Linked DNA regions of Arabidopsis thaliana. The protein of the gene in region 3 interacts with the protein of the main gene of each other region in a pairwise test. Each region holds a gene or a part of one and is shown on either strand. Other genes may lie near its edges.

Region 1 (5,758 bases), on a different chromosome or scaffold from region 3:
AGCACGGAAAATGCATTGAAGGAATTGGTTTCTTCACCTGGTTTTGGCGAATGGGCGGTGAAAAATGCTAAAAGAATCACTGTAAATCCGATAAAGGAATCGTCAAGTAAATAGGGTGATACTGTTAAGCGCAGAAGAAGGTTCCTCTGGTTCTGAAAAGCAAGCAGCTAGGGGAACTTCTGAACCAGTCGGAGAGTGTAGTAGGTTGCTTGTGAACAAAGCAACAAGCCTTGCTTATATATAGTCTTCTGGAAAAGAACTAATGAGCAAGGCGAAAAAGTTGAGAGATTAACTTCTAAATCAACAAAATGTAACCTTTGACATAAATTGATATTGACCAATAAGATCATACGTTTCCATGTGTGTAGTCATCAATGATGTGAAACTCAATACTATAGTGTATTTTATTTGAATGGACGATGATAGTTGGTATAATAAAGGAGGAAATAAATAAAGTCATCTTTTTGTTATTTAACGGCTGAAATTTCAATAGCAATTTAATTTGAATGATTCCAGTTCCACAAATATGAGTTGGTCATCTATATCACATGTAAGTTTTCTTAGTTATATTTAAAAATCATTAAAATCTAAGAGTAGTCCTTGGAGAGAACATGTCTCTTGTCTCCTAAACCTCCTTTATTATCCATCATCATTGTCACTAACCCTATTATTATTCCATTCACAGCGAAGAAAAAGAAGCAAAGAGTTCGTTATAAAGAAAGAAATAAACCCTCAGATAAGAGCATAACAGAGAAGAAGAAGAAGATGTCTTATCAAGACCCACAACATCCCGTTAGTGCTCCTCCTCCTCAAGGTAATTCCCAATTTTTTCCAAGTTTTTAGGGTATTTTTGTTTCTTGTTTCTTAAGTTTCGATGTTGTTGTTTTGTCAGGGTATCCTCCTAAGGAAGGATATCCACCAGCAGGGTATCCTCCACCAGCAGGTTATCCTCCACCACAATATCCTCAAGCGGGATATCCTCCAGCAGGTTATCCTCCACCGCAGCAAGGATACGGTCAAGGATATCCAGCACAAGGCTATCCTCCACCGCAATATCCTCAAGGTCATCCACCACAATATCCTTATCAAGGTCCTCCACCACCGCATTATGGTCAGGCTCCACCGAAAAATAAGAAAGATAAGAAGGATTCAGGAGGCTTCATGGAAGGATGGTGCGTTGACCAATTATCTCTCTCTTTTTATATTAACATATAGTTTTGAATACTTGAAGCTGATGATATACCTTTTTTTGGTTCATTATTCATAAATTTTGGTATGGAGTAATATGGATATTCAAAGTCTATATGTTTGGTACTTATAAAATGTGTATTTGTTTTGTATTACAGTTTGGCTATGCTCTGCTGTTGCGTTCTCTTGGAAGCTTGCTTTTGATCGGAAGATGAGCTGATATTTGCCGTTGACCGTCTTGAGGATGCTATTCAATTTTGTCAAACATGTTAAAAAGACGTGTTTGATATACATTTTAGATCTCTTCTTCTGGTTATGTGTGTCCACGTTTTGGGTTTGTTTCTTTAATTTTCTTTAATTTTATGAATGAATCCGAATTTGACTTGAGGTCTTGTTTACTTTCATGACTATTGATTGATTCAGGGTATGTTACCCATCTTTTGTATATGTGTGTTTTATCTTTTGTATAAAAGCCATTCATTCTTTCCAACTAGAGGAACACAAAAAAAGAAAGCAACCCAATTTTGTTCTCTTTCTCATCAAAAATGTAAGAAGAAGTGACTGTATCAACGTGATCAAAACTTAGCATTACCATCAAACTTATATAAATTTATACTTACGGTCCGATATATTTCCATTTTCCGTCTCAAACATATATGTCACATCCACCATTCCTCGGTTGATCAACTATTCAATGTACAAATTTTTATAAAAATACTACTAAATCGTATATAATCTTGAGTCTTCACTTCTTATATTTAATGTAAGAGAGTGGTTTAGTATCCACCGATTAACTCGGTTCAAACCAAAAATACACCAAAATGATATGACTGAATTGTGAAATCAGTCCAAGAACTAAAAGTCGATGAGCTCGGCATCGACCTCCATGAAGATAAGGAAAGATTCACTCAAATCTTAAGAAATAATACGGTAAAGAATATTAGACATATTCCCATCCGAAAAATAAGAAGCTCGATGACCAAACAAAAAATCCGTAATTCTATTTTCGAAAACCCTAAATTTATTATATTACTAAAAAATCTCTTGTAATTGTCAAGTTTACTCTCAAAAATCATTTTTCTTGAATCTCTTGTTTACTCTAATTTCTACTTTGCTTTTACTCGCATTGTTAATTTAATTTCATAAATTAATCCCTAATAGATCAAATGGGTGTATTTTTGCAATTATAAAGTTTAAGACGAATTTGTAAAAATGAAGATAATAAAGGGCTCCCAGTAAAGCACCTCAAAATCGATACATACTTCATCCTCCAACATGCGTAGGTGAATCGAAAGATTAAAGGTCAAATTTTTGTGTCTTCTCTTCCTCTGTCTCATGCCACAATTTTTAGATTTCAAACTTTGATCCATGACACTCTCCATAGCTTCCTCTCTCATTCCCTTCAGCTTTCTCAGGCATGTCTTCTTCTTCCTCTTCTTCTCCTTGTTAATTTCCCCATTTCCCTGATCGAAAGCTTTAATCTTTTTCTCGTGCGTGTCTTCGTAATCTCTGGCGTTTCTATTGAATTACTAATGCAATTGAAAAACTTGGGGATTTCATTATAAAGTATTGATCTTTGTGATGTTTTCATCTGTTCACAGAGAATTGAAGTCGAGACATTAGAAGTGTTTGTTGTGTGTGTGTGTGTGTTTCTATAGAATTTTTGAATTTTGTGATAAAATTGTGTGAATGGGAGCTCCAAAGCTGAAGTGGACACCAGAAGAAGAAACAGCTCTTAAAGCTGGAGTACTTAAACATGGAACTGGAAAATGGCGTACCATTCTCTCAGATCCTGTGTATAGCACAATTCTGAAGTCTCGTTCTAATGTGGATCTCAAGGTAAAAACATCAACAACTTTAAAGTGAAGAGAGATTATAGAAAAGTTCGAAACTTATACTATTGTTGTTGTCTACAGGACAAATGGAGAAATATAAGTGTAACAGCTTTATGGGGATCTAGGAAGAAGGCTAAGCTTGCTCTTAAAAGAACTCCTTTGTCGGGTAGTAGGCAAGACGATAACGCTACAGCTATTACCATTGTGTCTTTAGCTAATGGTGATGTAGGAGGACAACAGATTGATGCACCATCTCCTCCTGCAGGTTCTTGTGAACCTCCAAGACCTTCTACAAGGTTTGGTCTCTCTTCTTGTATTTGTATGAATTCTTGATGCTGTGAATGTGGAATATGGGAATAGTGAGGAATATAATAGGCTTGTTTTAATGTGTTTGTTGTAGTGTGGATAAGATTATATTGGAGGCTATTACCAGCTTGAAGAGACCATTTGGTCCTGACGGAAAGTCGATCTTGATGTATATAGAGGTACAATGAAGTTTTCCTTCTGTGTTTATTCGTTGTGTCTGTAAATAGTTAAGCATTGCTTACTGCATCTATATACAATCATCAAGGTCTTAGTGTTGCTGTAAATTTTCAGGAGAATTTCAAGATGCAACCGGATATGAAACGGCTTGTGACTTCAAGGCTGAAGTATTTGACAAATGTTGGAACATTAGTTAAGGTATAAAGAGAGATACTTTGATCGAAATTTCCTCTTGCAAATGTCACAAATTTAGCACTGACTTAACAATGGTTTTCTTGCGTTTGTTCTCACCTTTCAGAAAAAGCACAAATACAGGATTTCTCAGAATTATATGGCTGAAGGAGAAGGACAAAGGTCTCCTCAACTCTTGTTGGAAGGAAACAAGGAAAACACTCCGAAACCGGAGGAGAATGGCGTCAAAAATCTTACTAAATCCCAAGTAGGTGGAGAAGTTATGATAATGGGTATGACAGAAAAAGAAGCTGCTGCAGCAGCTGCAAGAGCTGTGGCAGAAGCAGAATTTGCAATGGCAGAAGCTGAAGAAGCAGCAAGAGAGGCAGATAAAGCAGAAGCCGAAGCTGAAGCTGCCCATATTTTTGCAAAAGCGGCGATGAAAGCTGTGAAGTATAGAATGCATAGCCAAACTCGGTAAGAATTAAGAAAATCATTGATGTTGTATCGGTTGATATATCTTCAATTCTTCATGTTATGTCAAGTTTCGATCTTGCATCGAAATCAACATTTTACAATCGCCGCAGTGTTTTTAGTCAGTAACAGTGTCTTCTAACTCAGATGATTATGTAAAACCTGTTCCTTCTCTTGCTTCTGTTGATCTGGTTTTGTTAGTAACTTCACAGGTTTCTCGTGAACCATTTTGAAACTGGTTTGAAAAGATATAAATAAGGCCTTTGATTTGTATACAGAGCTTATTTCCGTTTCCTTGGATTTTTAGAAGTTGAAAAATTGAGACACTTATGTTTTTGTTGCAAAGCCTTAAGAATAGAAAACAACCTCTTGAGCAAACTAGACCAGACCAGACCAGCAGGTGAGACAGAAGACAAATAAAGACAAACTCTTGTTTCACGCGAAATTAGTTCAAGACTCATCATCATCATTAACCAGACAACAGAGGACGAGTAAGAAGATCAAGAAGAGAGAACATATGATGTTCTTGTTGAAGTTTAGTTCTTTGATTTTGAGTGATTTACAAGCCAATCAGTGAGCTGATCAATGGTGGTAGGGTTCTTGCAGGATATCATGAGACAGCAGACTTCTCTACTTGTAACCGAACTAAGCCCCCTGCAACAAAAACAAGGCAAGAAGCATAATCAGATCGAGCTAAATGAGATGCCTTTAGTGCTGTTTTTGGAGTGTTCAGATGAATAAAGAGCTATACATTTCTTCTGTCAAGGCTTCTTTGGAAAGAGCTCCATGTATGTCAATCTTGTTCCCAAGAACCAAAAGAGGAATACCAATAAGCGAAGCATTGCTCAACAAATCATGGAGTTCACTTCTCGAGACACTCAAGTTTTCAGTATCTGCAGCATCAACTACGTACCTAGAAATTGGAATCAACATGAAACCAAGTTGTGAATAAGCCAAGCAATAAAGATAACAGAGAAACCTGCCTCTAAGATCCTTACACAATCATAGAAACAGCGCGACAGTAACGTTCCCACATGCAGCGGAATCTTGGTTGACCACCAAGATCCCATAGTCTGATTGCAACATTTTCTTTTGTCACTTTCCTCATGTTAAACCCGACCTGATAAACCCACAAAGACGAATCTCTTCATGTTGTTCCAAAAAAAAAAAACAGGTTTTGGATCGAAAACCGTATTTGATCAAAGATGCAGTGTAACAATTACCGTAGGAATCATGTCTTCACTGTATTCACCAGTCTAAACAAGTAAAAAGACATCATTATATCCCCAACCACCATCATATAAGTGTTAAAGAGATTATCAAAATGGAAGCATAGTATACTTACTGCAACAACATTAACAAGTGATGTCTTTCCTGAATTTTGAAGTCCTACCAAAGAAAGCTCCATTTCTTTTGCTTGAAGATTAGGCTGCAAAGTCATATTGATCGAAACAAACAAATGAATAGGTCCTCCTCAAAATGTCAACTAAGAGAAGAAGAGAGAGCACTAAGTTATTGTCTTTTTACAGCGAATCTATAATTTTATATTTAGATAGTTGAGGCAAGTAGCTACTTTATTTTTGTTAGCTACTTTATATTTGTTCGAT
Region 2 (5,957 bases), on a different chromosome or scaffold from region 3:
TACATCCCGGCTTGCATTCCCCACCAAACCCGTGATCACTTCAGACCAAAGCTCTATCCCACTTCCTTTACTACTGCAAAACACATGATTCCCATAGCTCTCTATCTTAGACCCAACTCCTCTTCTTTCATTCAAGTTTCTCTTCTTCTCTTCCCCAAGACAAACCCATGGATCCTTAGTTCCTAAACTCCTCAAATCGGCGTAGAAAACTTCCCCTGAAGTCACACCGACCTTGAACACCGCCGAGAGATTATCCGAGACAGTAACATCAGAGAAACAATCTTGTGCCTCCTTAATCTCCCAAACCATATTCCTTGACCTAACATCCCAAAACCTTATGTGACCATTGACACCAGAAGGACTAGTATGAGAACCAGAAACCATCAACAAATTACAACTCTGAATCCATTTCAACTTAGTCGATGGAATCGCAGAATCAATATCAGCGCCATAGATCTCACAATGATCAATCTCAGACACAGGTAACAAGCTAGAAAGGTCATACACCATAATCGAATTCGAGTTCCTTCTACTAGATTCAAAGCTAGTGAACAAAAACTCATGAGAAGAACCTATGGCTTGAACCGTTGAGCTAGACCTAGTAACGTTTTCCCAATTCAGAGTCGTACGAACGAATCCGCCGTTATCGAGATCGATGATTTGCAAACCAGGGAAATCGGTAGCTCCGGCAGCTAAAACTCCCGGAGATATCTCTAGAAGCGAATCCACGGCGGAGAAATTAGTCAACACAGTCGACTTTTGCCTCAACGACCAATCAAACGAAGTGATTTTGCTACCGTGCGCCACGTGGAGACCTCCGCCGATTACAGTCGGTGAGATACTCGACGGAGAATCTCGACCGTTCAATTGAAGAATCCTAGATCTACGGAGATCGAACGGCTCGAACTGCGACGAATTCGAGAGAGAATCGATTAAGAAAGACTCGATTCCATAGTATCTAGATTCATCGATGAGATCACGAACATCGAAGGCGCGTGATCTAGCAGGTAGGTTTCCGGTACGGAGGATATAGAGAAGAACGGAGAACAAATCGGGATCACGATCGACGAAACGAGTTGTCTCAGTAGCGAGTTGAGATAGGAGAGAATCGGTTCCGGCTAGGCTTAAGGTTTGCTTCGTTGTTTGAAAGATTCGGCCTCCGACGTTGATGGAGACAACGTTCGATTCATGAGGGATCGTCGGAAAATTCATACGAGCAAATCAGAAGACGTTCTTCGCTTTTTTTTTTTTTTTTTTTGGCAGAGGATGATAAGACGGATAAACAGTGAAACTTCAGAGAAGAGGAACAGTTTTTACTTGTACAAGGCTAACACGGCCACTGAAGTGGATGAGATCATCAAATCAAAACGAACAATGCGTTTAGTAAATTTTGGCTATTGAGACGGATATGTACAATGCGTTTATAATCTAAACGATGCATATAGCCTTCAAGAAAAGAAATTACCGAATCAATAACCGGTATAAACCGGTAAGAGAGACTTATTTGAAATTGAAAAGACTAACAATTCGGTTCGGTCTAATAATGTACACAAACGTCCGGTCCGATAAATTAAACAGGTGAACAAAGCACAAAGGGAGAAATAGATTTCACAGTTGAGTTATAAGCAGAGATAATTCATGATCATATACAATAAAACAAGTCCCCTACCAAAGCTGGTTCAAGGATCTGGTTTGCCAGCAATTGCAACATCATCATCATCATCATCCTCATTATCTGAGCCGTATTCCTCTTCACTTAGTTCTTCATCGCTAGACTTATCTTCTGAACCTTCCCCTGGCTTTGCATACTTCTCACAGTATTCTGAAACCGCAAACCCAACAAAGCCGAGCAAAATAACCATCACACTTCCTCAAAATATCCCCAAAAACCGTAATATCCCCATAACATTATCAAGACCTTGTAAATGCCTAAGTCTTTAAAATGATCAGAAACTTTTATCTTCATCATGAGATTCTAATGAATAAATCACTTGCAGATCATTACATTAGCTCCAAGATTTACGAAAGTTCAGTTCACACATAAACCAAACAAAAGCTCTAATTCATTAAAACGAAAAATGACTGAGAGGAACTCTTAGTGTTAAGAATGGTAATCTCGAACGCACACATTAAGAACAGGTCCAAGCAAATATGTGTACCTCACATCAAGCAAATAAAAGAAAAAGAGAAAGAAACTAACAGATTTGTCAGAATCTTGATATATCTCTTAACATGAGAATCTGAGTCGACTTACCTTTAACTCGTTGCTCATAAGCAGGACGATCACGCATCATTAACGCAGCAGCTTCTCCATTCAATGGATCTGATGGGTTTGGATACAGAAGAAGCTGAGGAAGAAATGTCTCAAACACATTCACAAGGTCTGAAAAAAAGAAGAACCAAAAACATAAAGTTAAATCACAACAGCAATCATTTGATCCCAAATATTCAAAATAAACCACATTTGATATCGCCCTTACCGAACATAGGACTCCAAGTTTGGTTAATCACATCTAAACAAACAGAACCCGACCTGCATAAACAAAGGAGACCAAAGATGAAAAAGATTGAAATAAATTGATCCAAAACATCTAGTGGATTGAATTTAAAAAGACTTACAGTTCATCAACATTAGGATGATAAATTTTAGTAATGAAACCAACAGATGGAGATTTATAAGGATAAGCATCTGGAAGCTCAACTCTTATCTTCCACACACCTCCTTGATAGAGACCTATCACCAACACACACATTAAACCCACAAATAATAGTTTAACAACAGTTCTTCACAACTAACACCCGAGTATCCCAACCGAACTTCGCCGAAGCGCCTAACTAATCCCGTGGTGAGCAAACTCGCAAGCCCACCACGAGTAAGTAAACCACACACAGTGTGTAAACATGGTGGAATCGAACCGCCGTAGATCCGAATCCACCACAAATAACGGATTGCAATTTTGACACTAATATGAACAAAATCTAAGAAAACCAGGAAGAATTACAAATACCCTTATCATCATTTTCACAAGTAACAGAATCAAAATAGCACACTAGTGACTGATTTAGAGACAACAATCAACGAAACTGGGGATTATTCTCAGACAAGATCAATCTTACTGTCTTTGGGACCATTGAATTCAACATAGAATTCTTGCATGCCATCGTTGATCGTTTCCACTTTATAATCGCTCATCATCCTGCAATATAAAATCAAATCAAATCAATCATAGAAACAAAAAACTCAAATCAAAAGTAACAAATGAAACCGACAGAGAAAAAAATTAGAAAGTTATTACAGCTTCATCATATCCATTTCTCTGCGTTTGCTTGGCGAAGACATTTTTTTTCTCTGTCGGTTCGCTTATGTTTCTCTGATTTTCTGGGTTTTTTTTTTGGTTTTTGTTCTTCTTCCGGATTCGAGTGGAGATGAAGAAAAATGTGTGAGAGAAAAAGGAAAGATTTTCGTTTATTGATTTTTTATTTATATATTTTCACGTACATCGATGATGGGAGTGAACCACCGAAGGAGATCGTATCTCTAAATATATATCCTTTGTTAGAAATAAGAATCTCACTCCCTTCACTAGTAATAAATTTTGTGATTTTGTTTTGCTTTTTCAATTACTTTCTCCCTAAAAATTTTTAATTATTTTCTCCCAAAGTTAGATCATATTTTTGTTATTTCTTTTAAATCTATAAAGTTTTATAGTAATTATTATTAAATTTTAGAAAAGGTTTTTAATCACATAGTTAAACTATATTTATAGTCTAATAATAAATGACATTGAAACAATGAATCAATTGAACGTAAAATAAATATTTTTCGAACACGTAGATATTTTCGGAATATATTTTATAAAACTTGAATCTGTAAAGTATTTAGTTCAAAAAAATAATTTTTAAGAAATTTTTAAAAAACGTTTAATATACTATTTATGATGATTCATTAAAATCAGTAACTATTTGTATACCTCATTATTTATTAGTATAATCTATTTAACTAAGAATATTAAACTCTCATTATTACTTCCCTAATTTTTCCTCTTTTTTGTTTCTTTTTCTTTTGTATTTGAGATTGTAATGGCTTAAGATAACATATTTGAATAGTCAAATAGTAAATTTTCAGTCAAAATATTACTCGATATAAGTACCTAAAGTATCTCTAAGTATTAGTGTTTATAATTCTTAAGAATATGTTAATTAGTGTTTTTTACAGCAATTACTTTACTTGGTGTTATGTTTTGTATACAAATTAGTAACTAGAACCCTAAGAATATTTTTATACAAATTACTTTACTTGGTGATTTTTTTTGCACATTTTATTCGTTGTTCGCTTATGTTTATCTGATTTTATTATTTTTAAAGTTTTCAATTTTGTTAAATTTAATTTTTCATTTAAACCAATGGCGTGACAAAAAAACCTCTATTTTATACTGTTTTACACAGTAATGGTCACTCAAAACGCTTTTCTGGCGCGTTGAAGTTGTTGGTCGACAAAAATAGTTGGATGGTCATGCCCGATTACAGTCTAAAAACATGAATCTGTATAAGTATTTAACTAGAAAAAACAAATTAGACAGGAAATTTTTTAAAAAATAAAAATATTTGTCCAATATACCATTAGCATGATTCACTATAATTAGCAACTATTCATCTGTCACTTACTCACTTGTGACAAATATTATTTATTAAACAAAGCAATGACTAATATTGCATCTACATGTAACAATATCATTTACTAGATAAGTCTCATTTAATTTGACGTACTCATGTAAGTAAGATGTACGACAATACGACATCACATATTCAACTAATGAGACAACTAAACAAACCAAGTTTCGAAAATGTGAAGAACTAAGAAATCTAAAACATAAACACTACAAACTAGTAAGTATAAACAATTTTCATATTACATATCACAGAACAACATAAAGAAAATAAATAAGCACTAAACCAAACTAAAATCGAACCGTAATAAACCCAATCCATACATAACAAACTCTCAATTTCAGTTTGATTAATATTTTTCTTAAACTCAAGAAAAAACTGAATCAAACCCAAATTGAAACCCCAGCTTTAAAACACTCCTAAAATAACCTATAAACAAGAATTACCAAAATTAAAACATCTAGAAGAAAAATTATCAGTTTTGTCTCGTTTTTTATTCACAGAAGTGAATCTAAAGCACAAACTCTAATTCTTAATCTCCGTTTTTTTGTAGACGATTTGAAACGTCTGTACACAAACATATGTATATCAACACTGACATGTTTCGTAAATCCAACTTTGTGATCAGCTATTAGTGTATTCTTACCCATTTTTTCTTTTTAAGTTTTTCTCTTGTTCTCCAATTTCTTTCTTCTGATACAGAGAGAATTGAGCCTTCTAAGATGCGGCATTTGCGGGTTGCTAGTCAAGAGTAGAGTCAAATACCATTTCCTGCAGAACAAACGGATCCTCTCAGACATATCCCGGGAATTAAAATGAATTTGTAAACAAGCTAAATTGGAACTACTCATTATTTACGGTTTACTTAGAGATTAGAGTTTTTCGACATACACCAAAGAGAAGTGAATAAAAGAATGTACCTTGTTGCAGACGGGGCAGGTTTCACTTCTCTCCATCCATTCTAGAATGCATGCAAGGTGAAAATGGTGATCACATTTGGCTACAAGTTTCGGGTTCTCGATATCATATTCTGAATCAAAAGCACAGACAATATAATAAATAACCCATTCTCGCAGTCATGTAAGGTACGATTATGTTTATATGTTTTTGAGATGTGGGAAAGGCAAACAAGCTTTTACCTTCCAAACATATGGGACAATCCTCCTCTTCCTCTATTGGTATAAAAACAGCTTTTGATAGCTTCGGGTCTATTTCTTCAGTAGATTCAAGATCAATCTCTGTTTGGATTTTGCTATCTGTCTCTTTATGTGAGCATGTAGTTGGAACCC
Region 3 (5,576 bases):
TAGGGTTCAAAGTCGTGCCAGTAATTGGCAGGACAAACTTGTCGTGACTTCAACACGTTCTGTTGAACAGGATGCTCTCTCACCTTCGGAGGTAAATTTGAAGTTAAAATGTAGCTGTATTTTGGAAATTGTTGTGTTTTCTTCTTGATGGAAATCTCTGTTTAATAATCTCCCTTTCGCAGGCTGCAAAGGTGTTTGAGAGCCAATTAGCAGAATCCATATTAGAAGGAGATGGACAACTTGCTTTCAAAAAACTTGCAACCGCAACACTTGGAACCATAATGCCAAGGATAGAAGGAAAAGGAGAGTTTGGTCAGGCGAGATGGAGGTTGGTGTATGCTCCGCAGATCCCAAGTTTACTCTCTGTTGATCCAACTGTGGATCCTCTCAAGTCTCTGGCGAGCAACATATCATTTGGAACGGAAGTTGAAGTGCAGCTCGGAAAACGTCTTCAGGTCAGGCATAAACATTGAAATCTTCTTTCTTCTCCATATGGCCTCATTTTTTTCAAAACCTAACCAAAATAAGCACTCCACGGTTCTTGCTGTCTTTTATCTACAGGCCTCTGTGGTAAGACAGATGAAAGATTCTGAGATGGCAATGCAATGGACACTTATTTACCAGCTCACGAGCCGCTTGCGTGTCCTTCTGCAATCTGCACCTTCCAAACGTTTGCTTTTTGAATACTCTGCTACATCACAAGACTAAATCCTTTTGTCTTCCTCTGTCGGATTCATATGGATATAAGCCGTTTGTTGCAAAGGAAGTGCATTTTGGAATAGCATGGTTTTGGTGACTACCGACAAGAAAAATTATTTTATTATTTGGTCAGTCTTTCTTTGTGCACTTCTTCTGGCCTTTTAGTGGTTAAAAATGTAAAAATTACATTGTAAATGCCTTTTGTTAGGGAATGCATATAAAATGTTTTGCCACTTCATTGACTGATTGGTGCAACAAGAAAGTAATGAAATTTATTATATCCAACAATGGACATGGATGGCTCTTCTGGATACTTCAGTTAAAACTGGAATGTCTTACAAACACTTGCCCAAACAGAACAAAGACAACATCCAAAGATATACACTGAACAGACTAAAGCTTATGGCTTACTAAGAACCTAATTAACACCAAATGCTACAACGGCTTATTGGTTTCATCTAACTATCATTAGCTGCCTCTGCAAGCTTGGCGGAAAATCTAAGCTTCTTGATATTCAATCTTCTTTCCTCAACACATAACGCTTTCCATTCATCACTCAACTCTCTTCTTTTTCCAGTTCCAAGGTTCATCAGCTTCTCAAGCTGCAACTTCTTTTGATAACCACTTAAACCTTGCGACATTACAGCCTCAAATGCATCCTGCACAGCGCATAACTCATCATCATCATCGTCATCATGTCTCTCTTTTCCACCAGTAGTCCCGTTCTCTGTTGTTTTCGCTGCCCCATTCTCATTTACAAGTTCAGTATTAGCCACTTCCTCATGCTCCTTCAACATCTCCTCACTCTCGCTCTCGCTCTGCTGTGCTATTTGAGTAGTCCCGTTATTGTCTCTTATATTCTCTGCACCATTCTCATTAAAGGGTTCCTCATGCTCCTTCAACATCTCCTCCTCGCTCTCGCTCTCGAGCTGCTGTGCTTTCCGAGCAGTCTCGTCGTTGTCTCTTATCTCCTCTGCACCATTCTCATTTAACGTTTCCTCATGCTCCTTTAACATCTCCTCCCCACTCTCGTTCTCCTGTGCTATTCGAGCAGTCCCATTTTCAGCTGCGCCATTTCCGTTTACATCGTGCTCCTTCACCATCTCCTTATCCATACCATCATCATTACCAAATTCACCTTGTCCCCAAATCATCGAAGAAAATCCAAAGGCTTCAGAATCACTAGACCTAGTAAATTTCGGATCATTCCCTTCACTGATTTTCTCCCAATGAACATGAAATCTCCTTTTCAACTTCCTGATCTTACTCAAAACCTGCTCCTTGGAGAATTTCGCAACGATAGAACTTCCGAGGAAACTGTAAAACGCATCCCAATCAATTTTGGGATTGAATCCTGTCTTAGCTCTGTAATCAACTAATCCCTGAGAAATTTCGAATCTGGTTTTGAGAAAATCAGAATGCAAAACCAAATCAAAGTGTAACGGAGAAGATGAATAGAATACCTTTAAGATAGAGAGCTCATCTTCCTCGTTCCAGATCCGGACGATCAACGGCGGACCCAAATTCTTCTTCTTCTTCTTCTTTTTCTTCTTCATAGTCTCTTCGCCTGCTTCTGCTGCGAAGGAAGCAGCAGCACGCTTTGAGGAAGGATTCCGTGGAGATTCTCGATGGGAGAGGGTATCGTCGGAGTTATCACCACCACCACAGGAAGAGAAATCGATCTGCTTCGGAGTCACCATGGTAATTGCTTTACACTTGCTGATTCTAGAGGCATGCAGAGAAACCCTAAATCAGGAAATCATATTAACAAAATTGATCAGTGATTCCCAAATTTTCACGACCTTTAAAAAGTGAAACCCGAGAGAAAAAAAAGCTAGTCTTTCCAAATTTCTGAATCGAGCTGGTCAAAAAATATCATGACTGAAATTTTCTCTGCACTTCTGTTTTATAGTATAATCGATAGGAGTGGATTTTGTTACTTTTGTACTTTTTGTTACAGAAAGGAGCAATATATTAGCGGGCTGCGCAAGCCCATCTTACTAATAAAGTGCCAAATATCGGTGACTGTTGAGAGAAAATCACAAAATTTGGAAAGCAGTGTTGCCTGCAACAGAAAATGCATAACAAACACAAAATTGCTAAGGTGAAACAAAAAACAATTAATATCCTCCTCTGCCATCCTGATGAGACCACCACTCACTACATGGTCTAACCATCGAGCCACCATTTACATGAGTAACCCCAAGAGTCCAGTTAGATTGAGGCTGCCACTCTGGTAGTATATCATTGTCATTATCATTATAACTTTGGTTCCTCAAAGGTTCAGATTTTCCATATTTTTGAATAAGCTCTCTTACAGATACAGACCGGCTTGTCCGGTTCACGACAACATCCCCACTGGAAAAATAGTTAAATTCAGGCAAGTCATCATCTTCATCCCGAGCCATGGTCATTGGGCCAAACCCCGGTGGCACATCATCACCATCGTCATTGTTGACCTGTAGCATGTTACTGTAACGAGAAGTATTATATGTGGTTAACGAAGAACCCTTTTCACGGTGGTTCTTGTGAGAGTTGTTAGATAGTGGTGATTTTTTAAATTGTGTGTCTTCTCCATACAACAACACCTATAAGACCATCATCATTTATAGATTTCAAGAAATCGAGTTGGTTTCTCGGAACAATCTTGTTTAGAATCTCGACAGTTCTCCCACGGGTTGGGCATAGGTATAGCTCAACTCCTGAAGCTGGTTCTGCATAACCCACCCTCCCATCTTTAGCGTATGAATCCACCACCTGTATAGTAACAAAACCAAATGCCCAAATTTCGTTACCAAGTTAGACATTCTACAGATATTTAGGAGTGTTTCAATTTAAATTCGGTTTGGGTTTTCAGTTTGTACAGATTCGCGTTCAGTTTTGATCAAATAAATCATTAATATTCAAATAAATCTCAAGTTTTTTTAATCATCTTTTCGTTTATTTGGATACACAGAATCTTGGTTAACTACCAACGCTCATACCTCGGAAATGTTCTCTTGTTCTGTCTTTGAGCACTCTTCTTTGCAGACGAAACACATAACCTGTAACACGAAAGCAAGGTTTCAGAAGTACCATGATGGATAAACGAGTTCATCACATACATATAGAATCGAGAACAAACAGGTCTTAGTTTTATTGGAATATGGAGGCCTATTCAAGAAACATAAGCTATGCAATTGTTCTGGTGAAAATATTTTTGTAAGTCCATCTATCTCCATTGTGATTCACAGATGTAATGTATTTTTCTCAATCATTCACAAATCAGTATTGGCCGTTAATCTCTCCTCTTCTTTCCTAAATGCTTCTACTTAAGCTTGGTTAAACGTCACAGTTAATAGCTTTTGCAGGGGCTCAAACACAGAATGCGTATATAAAACATGTACATTAATGATAGAGGTAAACGTGTAGACAAATACCATTACAGCACGACTCCTGGAATTTGGGAGCTCTCGAACAAACTTCTCAAATGCATCTAATCTGACTCTACCCTTAATCTCGAGCAAAATAGGCCACTCTTTTGTAGTAGTCTTTTCGCCACTGTGAAGCGTAAAAATCAGGTTGGTAAACATGGTATCAATAACAGCGAAGCCATATTCATTAAAAAAACATTTTATAGAGCTGATAAGCACTAGAATAGTATAGATAAGTAGTAACATGTAGACTAAATAAAGAAAGCTATTCATATATGCAAACCTAAATTTGGAAATGTGGAATAAAAAAAAAATACTGAGATAGGTTTGCTACCACTCATGAAACAATTTATTACAAACCTTCTTAGAATGCCGATGACAGAGCTCACAGTAGAAGGACTCAGCTGGAGCACACCTTCCCATAAACGTTCACCATCAGGTATGAAAACAGATGTAGTTTTGGATTTCAAATCAGAACTAGGCTTTGACGATACTATGTCAGCATCCTCAGCGTTAACAGGTGATGATGCCTTAGCCGTAAGTGGTGACAATGCCTCAGCCTTAACTGGTGATGTACAAAGATCAATATTAGCACTTTCTTTGGGTGATGAAACTAAAACCTCCTCTACATCATTATTATCTGAAACAGAAGGTTTTTTCTCAGTATCTGAAGACAAAAAGCCAGACGGAGATTCAGAATCTATGGATGACATGAATTCATCAAGAGAGACAATTGGAGGAAGAGATCCAGTGGCAGCCTGCATCTCATCATCTATTGTGACTCCGTTTATTGGCCCAGTGCTCTCATTAGAGCTGTTCAATTCATTCTTGACTCCAAGAGTTTTCGTGATGGAAGGGGTTTTCTTCTTAAAATTCTTTGTTCGAGACCAGTTAATCGAACTCATTCCAACAGAGACCTCTACAGAACCACTATCCATTGGTTCAACTTCCACTTGGAACTCTCCTTTGTGTGTTTTCCTTACTAGGCTTCTGATATCCACCTCAGTGTCCTGCAGAACAACCATCTGAGCCATCTCTTCTGCTTTTGCTTGTCGCCACTCAGCTAGTTCCTTTGAAGCAAGTTCCTCTGCTGACATGGAACACAATCGCTCTGCTGCAATTTCTCCATACATAACTTTTTCCCTGAGTTTAGGATTACTCTTGTCTTTCAAATTGAACAAGAGAGACCTTCCTTTCTCTTTATATTTCTTATTTACACCACCAAATAACTTAAAGAGTTCTGTCTCTATTTCAAATGCCAAAACTTGTGGATCCAGTAACAATTTTTCCAGGCTCCCATCATTAGCCATTGCACCAATCATTTCATTTTGACAATTGACAGTAAACTCAATGTCCGACTCGAGAGCCCAAGAGAGGTCATTCCCTTGCAAAAGATCATCTTTTGAAAACACATTGTCACTATATGAAACATTGTCTTGCACAAACGGTTTTACAGCCTCAGGT
Region 4 (6,320 bases), on a different chromosome or scaffold from region 3:
ACATCAGTGAGAAAGTAAGCAATGGAGACACTGAAATTTATATTAATGGCCGGGAAATAACCAAGCCAGAGCTCACGATGCTCAAGGTTCTTTTGCTTTTCACCTTTGTTTTGGATAACAAATATGCTTAGTGTATGTGTCATTGTTCTGAACTGAGCGCTTCTTTGCTTTGATGTAGTGGGCGGGGGTGCAATGTGAAGGAAAACCTCATTTTTGGGTCGATTCAGATGGTTCTTACCGAGAAGAAGGTCAAAAGCATCCCATCGGGAACATCTGGAGTAAGGTATGGTTTCCTGATCACCAGCTTTTCTCGTTCACAACATTAAATATAAAACTAAAGACAACGAAGGATATTATTTTTACAGAAGAGAGCAAAAATTGCTTGCGCTGTGTTCTCTCTGCCAGTTCCTCCGGCTTCGTCTGCAGTAGAACCATATGATGTGCCCTTATATGAGCAGAAGATGCTTAACAAGCTTCTTTTGATTGGTAGCGAAAAAGGTGGCGCCACTACAATTTACAAACAAGTGAGCTATTCATCTTAATGCCTCCCACTTGAATGTTTCACATCTAGTAAAGAATCGGGAATTGACTTCTTCTGTTTCAGGCAAGGTCTCTCTACAACGTCTCATTCTCTTTAGAAGACCGTGAAAGAATCAAATTCATAATCCAAACAAATCTCTATACCTATCTGGCAATGGTTCTTGAGGCACATGAAAGATTTGAAAAAGAGATGAGCAATGACCAGTCTTCAGGTAATTATTATTGACTGTACAAACTATTAGAATAAGAATGCATTCATATTCTAATACAAACATCAGTTAACAATTGATTATTGAGGAAGACTGATCGAGTTCTTGGGATTTAGGCAATGTGGGAGATGAAACCAGTGCAAAACCAGGTAACTCGATCAACCCGAGACTAAAACATTTTTCAGATTGGGTTTTGAAAGAAAAGGAAGACGGAAACCTGAAGATATTTCCACCATCAAGCCGTGAGAATGCTCAAACCGTTGCAGATCTCTGGAGAGTACCAGCTATTCAAGCCACCTACAAAAGACTTCGCGATACACTTCCCAGGAACGCCGTTTATTTTCTTGAAAGAGTAAGTTTACATCAAGTTGCCTGCTTGCATATATAAACGCTCTTTCAGGACCTTAACACTTTTGTTTAAGGGGAAAAAGATGACTGACCCAAATTTGTTTCTTCTCAGATTCTTGAGATCTCGAGATCAGAATACGATCCTTCTGATATGGACATATTGCAAGCGGAAGGACTCTCCTCTATGGAAGGACTTTCTTGTGTGGACTTCTCATTCCCATCAACTTCTCAAGAAGAGTCTCTTGAGAGCGATTATCAACATGATACAGACATGAAGTTAGTTCTGTTCTTTTTCCTTGTGTTGCATTCCGGCTATATGAAAAACCGTTGAACTTACCCTCTCTCTCTCTCTCTCTCTCTCTCTCTCTCTCTCTCTCTCTTTAGGTACCAACTCATCCGGCTAAATCCGAGAAGCCTTGGTGAAAACTGGAAATTGCTGGAAATGTTTGAAGACGCTGACTTGGTGATATTTTGTGTCTCACTAACAGACTATGCAGAAAACATAGAAGACGGTGAGGGGAATATTGTGAACAAGATGCTTGCAACCAAACAGCTTTTCGAGAACATGGTGACTCACCCGAGCCTAGCTAACAAAAGGTTTCTTTTGGTTCTAACCAAATTTGATCTCCTAGAAGAAAAGATCGAAGAGGTTCCTCTAAGAACCTGTGAGTGGTTTGAAGACTTCAACCCATTGATCAGCCAGAACCAGACGAGCAGACACAACCCTCCAATGGCTCAGCGTGCTTTCCATTACATTGGATATAAGTTCAAGAGACTCTATGACTCAATCTTGGAACCCGTAAATATGCGTGGAAGGAGCTTTAAGCCAAAATTGTTTGTTTGTCAAGTGAGCTTGGAGAGTGATACTGTGGACAATGCACTGAGGTATGCGAGAGAGATTCTCAAGTGGCATGTTGAAGAAACTTCCATGTTCCAAGAGATGTCTACTACTAGCATAGAGGCCAGCTCGTCCTCTTGATATTTTTTCCTAAAATTCTTTCTTTCTTTGTGGAAATTACATAAGTTTGTTTCTCTCTCTGTGTGTATGTTTGTTGTATATGTAGTAGTGTGAAGATACATTCATGTGATTGATTTTTCAGGGGAAAAAAAATAGAGAAATAATAAAGTGAATTTTCCCGGTTTAACAGACATTTACTTATACGGTTATTGAGGTTGAACTGGACCGGAGTAGCAATAAATTATCGGTTCAGTTTGGGAGATCAAACCGTTTAAAAGAAAATAATTTGAAATGGCCACGCAGAATACGAGGGTCTGAGGATTGTACCTCCTTTCTCTGCAAAAACTTAAACGTTGATTTGACTCAAGCGTCAAGGTAAGGTACTCTCTCTTCATACAACATTTTAGCTTTACTTTTTCTCTTTACTCTTCTCTCTCTCTTTCTCTTTCTCTTTCTCTTTCACTCGTTCTCTCTCACTCACTCTCTTCACACACAGATCCAAGATGGCCTCTTCAATGGCTAGCAATGATTTCCAGCTCCCTCCACGTTTCTTCACTGTTTTCGTCTCCCATTTCAGCTCAGAGTTCATGGTAAGATTTTCTCTCGAGGTTTCTTCTTTCAGGTTTATCTGTTCATGAGCAAACGATTCTTGAACTGGGTAGATTCTCTTAGCCTAGTGGTTTCTTTGAACTATGTCTGATGGTTTTTATGAAACAAACACTGTGTTTATCTGCATTTAGCTTCCTCTATAGATTTTGCTTTTTCTGTTTCTAGGGTTTTGCTCTTATTCCTACCCTTTGGTTTCCTTTTTCTGACTAAAGATTTAAACTTTCTGTATGAATCAGCTTAATTTATGGACTTAACACTGGATATGTTTGGTTACTGGAACTAAATTTCATCAAAGTATAAAGTAGTTTTGCTCAGATTTTGTTTTCTTTTTCTGTTGATGAATAGAAACATTTGTTCTGCTTCTAAATGCTGAAAGATATAAAATTTTGAGACTGGATGCTTTGATTTTGTCTGGTTCTGGAAAGTTGACTCTTTTAACTGTCCCTACGCTTTTGGTTGAAACCAAATCTTGTTGTGTGTGGAAAGCCTCTTTAATGACTCTCTCCGACTTACCTTAAAGTTATCTTGTTTTTTTTGTGTCTTTACTTATCTATTGAGTGTTTGGCTTATAAGTTAAACAATTTTTCTGTGAAATGAGCAGGTGATCCCAGTTTCCTACTACGATCACATTCCACATCGTTTCCCCAAGACTGTGATTCTCCGAGGACCTGGTGGATGCTCCTGGAAGGTAGCGACGGAGATAAAGGATGATGAAGTGCTTTTTTCACAAGGATGGCCCAAATTTGTTCGGGATAATACTCTTAACGATGGAGACTTTTTGACCTTTGCCTATAATGGAGCTCACATATTCGAGGTCAGTATCTTTCGCGGCTACGACGCATGTAAAGAGATTAGCGAAGTCACTGAATTGGAAGAGGAAGAAGAAGACAGTGTTATATCTCTGAGCAGTGAAGACACAGACACTGGTGCTAAATCTGAGATGAAGAATACAGTCCCGGAAGGCAGAGACAAAGGTTCATTGTTAGCTTTTTTTCCCATCACTTGCTTTTATGTGATTTTGCTTGTTTTGACTTTTGAGATTTTTGTTTGCAGGAAAGTCAAAAGTGGAAGTTGTGGAGGATTCTGATGACGATGAGGAGGAGGATAGTGTTTATTCTGAAAGCAGTGAAGAAACAGAGACAGACACTGATTCTGAATTCAAGGTGGCCAAGCCAACAATACCAAAAAGCCAGAAGAAAGGTTTTAAACTCATCGTTAGCTCATTGCATAACTTGAATTGTTTCTTTATGTGATTGTTTTATATATTGACAATCATGTCTTCTTTGTTGAGATGTTTTCAGGAAAGAAGAAAGAACAAGTTGTGGAGTCCTCTGATGACGAGGAAGACGAAGAGGAGGACAGTGACAGTGATTACATTGAAACGTTTGGTCAATTGGATATTGAAGAGAATTCCATCAGTGAGGAGGACAGTTCTTATGCTCCTGATAAAGAAGACACAGCCACTGCCTCTTTTGTCAAACCAAAGGTTGCAAATAAGGTTGCTAATCTGAAGAGGAAAGGTAAAATACATTTACTTTCATCACTTTTAACTTCATTTCTTCCATGCTTATCTTAATGCAACATTGCTTTGTCTATGGAACCAGAGGCGGCAAAGAAGAGGAAGAAAGGTAATCACATTGTTGTCTTAATTAGTTCCATCACTTCATTATGTAATTGATTTTTGAGATGCTAATGCTTTTGTCTCTTGAGATTCTTACAGTCGATCCCATGATCAAGAATCCTGAGAGATACCTCGATGATCCTAAGAATATCCATTTCGAGACAAACGTGAAGAATAGGTTATACGAGCTGGTAAGAACTGCAACTTCTTGTCCTCATATACTACTACTCTTTTTAACTTAAAGATTGTTTTCATTAACGTTCTTGTCTGCTTTGTGTACGTATCTTTTTTACAGTTGGTTCATGCACAACTGGTGAAAGACTATTGCTTGAGGTTTGGAGACTATGTTAACTACATCGACAGGTTCGGGAAACTAAGTGCTAAAACAGCCAAATGGAAGGATCAGCGTGTTTGTATCAAAAGATGGATGCGCATATGCAAGAGGAACAAGTTGAAGAAAGAAGACCGCATTTTGTGTGAGCTCTTGCGCAAGGGAACTTTCGTTTACGCAATCAAACTCCATGTCATCCGCGGTAAGGATCTGTAGACGCTAGCAGTATGAGTAGAGGAAGAGATTTGGCTACTTAATTATCTCTCTGATTTCCATCTTGTTGTGTGATCAAGCAAACTTATGTGTTTCATTATTGTCTACTTCAGATTGTATGACCTTCTCTCTTGTTCTCTCATGAATCTATTTCTGAATACAATATCTAATCTTTGAGCTAAAGTTTAACTCTTAAACCCTTGAAAGAGTAAAAATCCTTGAAAAAAAAAAAAAAAAAAAAATCCTTGAAAGAGTAAAAATCAAAGAAAGGTCGAAAACTGTATATTTGTCTTAGCTTTTTCTTTCTACAATCTGTTTTTGGCAAGATTTTCTCTTGAAAATTCTGAAGAATCTAGGTATACTGGTTTCCACGGAATCTCCTGTAACAAAGATCAAAGTAGAAGAAACAGAGGACTCATTCACTAAATATATAACCTTTGAGGAAAACTAAATAAAATATGTACCTTCCTTCTTCATCCTCGTGATATCGCTTGTTGATTTCTCTTAAATGGAAGCTGCTTCACCAGAAGTGAGGAGAAACAAAGAACAAATTAGTGAGAGGAAGTGAGAAATGACCTTGAAAGCTTTGTGACATAATAATTGTGAATTTTGTGATATAAAACAGAGTAGCTACTCTGTTTTTAGTCCAAAAATAGTAACTTCCATTATCAGAGTAAAATATACTAACCAACATAAAGTTTGATTATTTTGAAAACTTTGACTTGGATCATTATTTATTTTATAGTTTACCATGTCGACGTTGGATATTTCTTTTGTGAATTTTTTGGCCTACAAGTTTTTTTTTCAATTCCAGTTTTGTGGGTCCTATCGTCACGTTTTCGAAAACCTCTTCTTTTTAATTGAATGTTTGCTTTCATCTTTACAAAACAGAGCAAGCTACTCTGTTTCGAGTCCAAAAATAGTAACAATCATTATCATAGTAAACATACAACTAAACCAACCCTAAAGTTTTATTATTTTTGAAAACTCTGATTTGGATCATTTGTTATTTTCTAGTTACATTACCATGTCGATAAGGGAATGATATTTATTTCGTGAATTTTTGGCCATACTTCCATTTTTGTGGGTCCTTACTCCTTTCTTGACGTTATTTTTTAAAAACCTATTCTCTTGAATAACTTTGATTTCTTCTTTAGCATAATTCTTTCTTTGGATATGCTCCACTTTTTGCACGAAAATAATCATTTTCTCCTGAAGATAATCAATTTTCGCAAATTGCATGTCAGTGTCACTATCTTTACAGAGCACGCTTTTACAGACTAAAATTTTGCACATAAAATATCTTAATTTTTTGTTCAAAAAAAAAATATATATCTTAATTTATTATTTATTTTCACATGGCGAACATTTGTTTTTTTAACTCAATGAGTTTGTATAGATGAAGTAAACATGAGGACAATTTAACGAAAGTTAAGTCACCTAACGCTTTGAAATCCAACCTACCAGCCTGAATTTATATTTACACCACTT

What was found.
Region 1: the proteins of AT2G25650 (region 3) and TRB3 interact in a two-hybrid assay, tested with the Arabidopsis thaliana proteins (one large-scale study listed by BioGRID).
Region 2: the proteins of AT2G25650 (region 3) and UBC4 interact in a two-hybrid assay, tested with the Arabidopsis thaliana proteins (one large-scale study listed by BioGRID).
Region 4: the proteins of AT2G25650 (region 3) and AT4G34400 interact in a two-hybrid assay, tested with the Arabidopsis thaliana proteins (one large-scale study listed by BioGRID).

Annotation. Positions count from the first base shown.
Region 1 is NC_003074.8:18,486,574-18,492,331, forward strand, and holds TRB3 (telomere repeat binding factor 3), read left to right. Parts: upstream 1-2,419; 5' UTR 2,420-2,603; exon of another isoform or gene 2,604-2,789; 5' UTR 2,790-2,877; coding exon 2,878-3,027; intron 3,028-3,104; coding exon 3,105-3,319; intron 3,320-3,423; coding exon 3,424-3,508; intron 3,509-3,620; coding exon 3,621-3,704; intron 3,705-3,804; coding exon 3,805-4,158; 3' UTR 4,159-4,423; downstream 4,424-5,758. Other genes in the region: AT3G49840 (transmembrane protein (DUF2215)), read left to right, coding at 1-114; WIH3 (cysteine-rich TM module stress tolerance protein), read left to right, coding at 766-814, 893-1,172, 1,347-1,392; ARLA1B (ADP-ribosylation factor-like A1B), read right to left, coding at 4,688-4,805, 4,903-5,064, 5,150-5,271, 5,375-5,407, 5,497-5,592.
Region 2 is NC_003076.8:16,536,617-16,542,573, forward strand, and holds UBC4 (ubiquitin conjugating enzyme 4), read right to left. Parts: upstream 3,574-5,957; 5' UTR 3,341-3,573; coding exon 3,297-3,340; intron 3,198-3,296; coding exon 3,118-3,197; exon of another isoform or gene 2,754-3,117; coding exon of another isoform or gene 2,735-2,753; coding exon 2,620-2,734; intron 2,534-2,619; coding exon 2,481-2,533; intron 2,384-2,480; coding exon 2,255-2,383; intron 1,823-2,254; coding exon 1,680-1,822; 3' UTR 1,447-1,679; downstream 1-1,446. Other genes in the region: AT5G41330 (BTB/POZ domain with WD40/YVTN repeat-like protein), read right to left, coding at 1-1,212; AT5G41350 (RING/U-box superfamily protein), read right to left, coding at 5,410-5,439, 5,589-5,698, 5,808-5,957.
Region 3 is NC_003071.7:10,911,588-10,917,163, reverse strand, and holds AT2G25650 (DNA-binding storekeeper protein-related transcriptional regulator), read right to left. Parts: upstream 2,654-5,576; 5' UTR 2,400-2,653; coding exon 2,163-2,399; intron 2,082-2,162; coding exon 1,158-2,081; 3' UTR 948-1,157; downstream 1-947. Other genes in the region: emb2410 (embryo defective 2410), read left to right, coding at 1-91, 183-455, 562-708; AT2G25640 (SPOC domain / Transcription elongation factor S-II protein), read right to left, coding at 3,256-3,456, 3,684-3,743, 4,119-4,239, 4,473-5,576. UniProt on the Arabidopsis thaliana protein: Probable transcription factor. May play redundant roles with GEBP and GPL2 in cytokinin responses by regulating the transcript levels of type-A ARR response genes. Involved in stress responses.
Region 4 is NC_003075.7:16,442,765-16,449,084, forward strand, and holds AT4G34400 (AP2/B3-like transcriptional factor family protein), read left to right. Parts: upstream 1-2,376; 5' UTR 2,377-2,435; intron 2,436-2,443; exon of another isoform or gene 2,444-2,551; 5' UTR 2,552-2,558; coding exon 2,559-2,645; intron 2,646-3,265; coding exon 3,266-3,638; intron 3,639-3,717; coding exon 3,718-3,864; intron 3,865-3,965; coding exon 3,966-4,184; intron 4,185-4,268; coding exon 4,269-4,292; intron 4,293-4,384; coding exon 4,385-4,476; intron 4,477-4,580; coding exon 4,581-4,832; 3' UTR 4,833-5,009; downstream 5,010-6,320. Other genes in the region: XLG2 (extra-large GTP-binding protein 2), read left to right, coding at 1-86, 179-283, 366-524, 605-752, 866-1,101, 1,210-1,373, 1,482-2,076.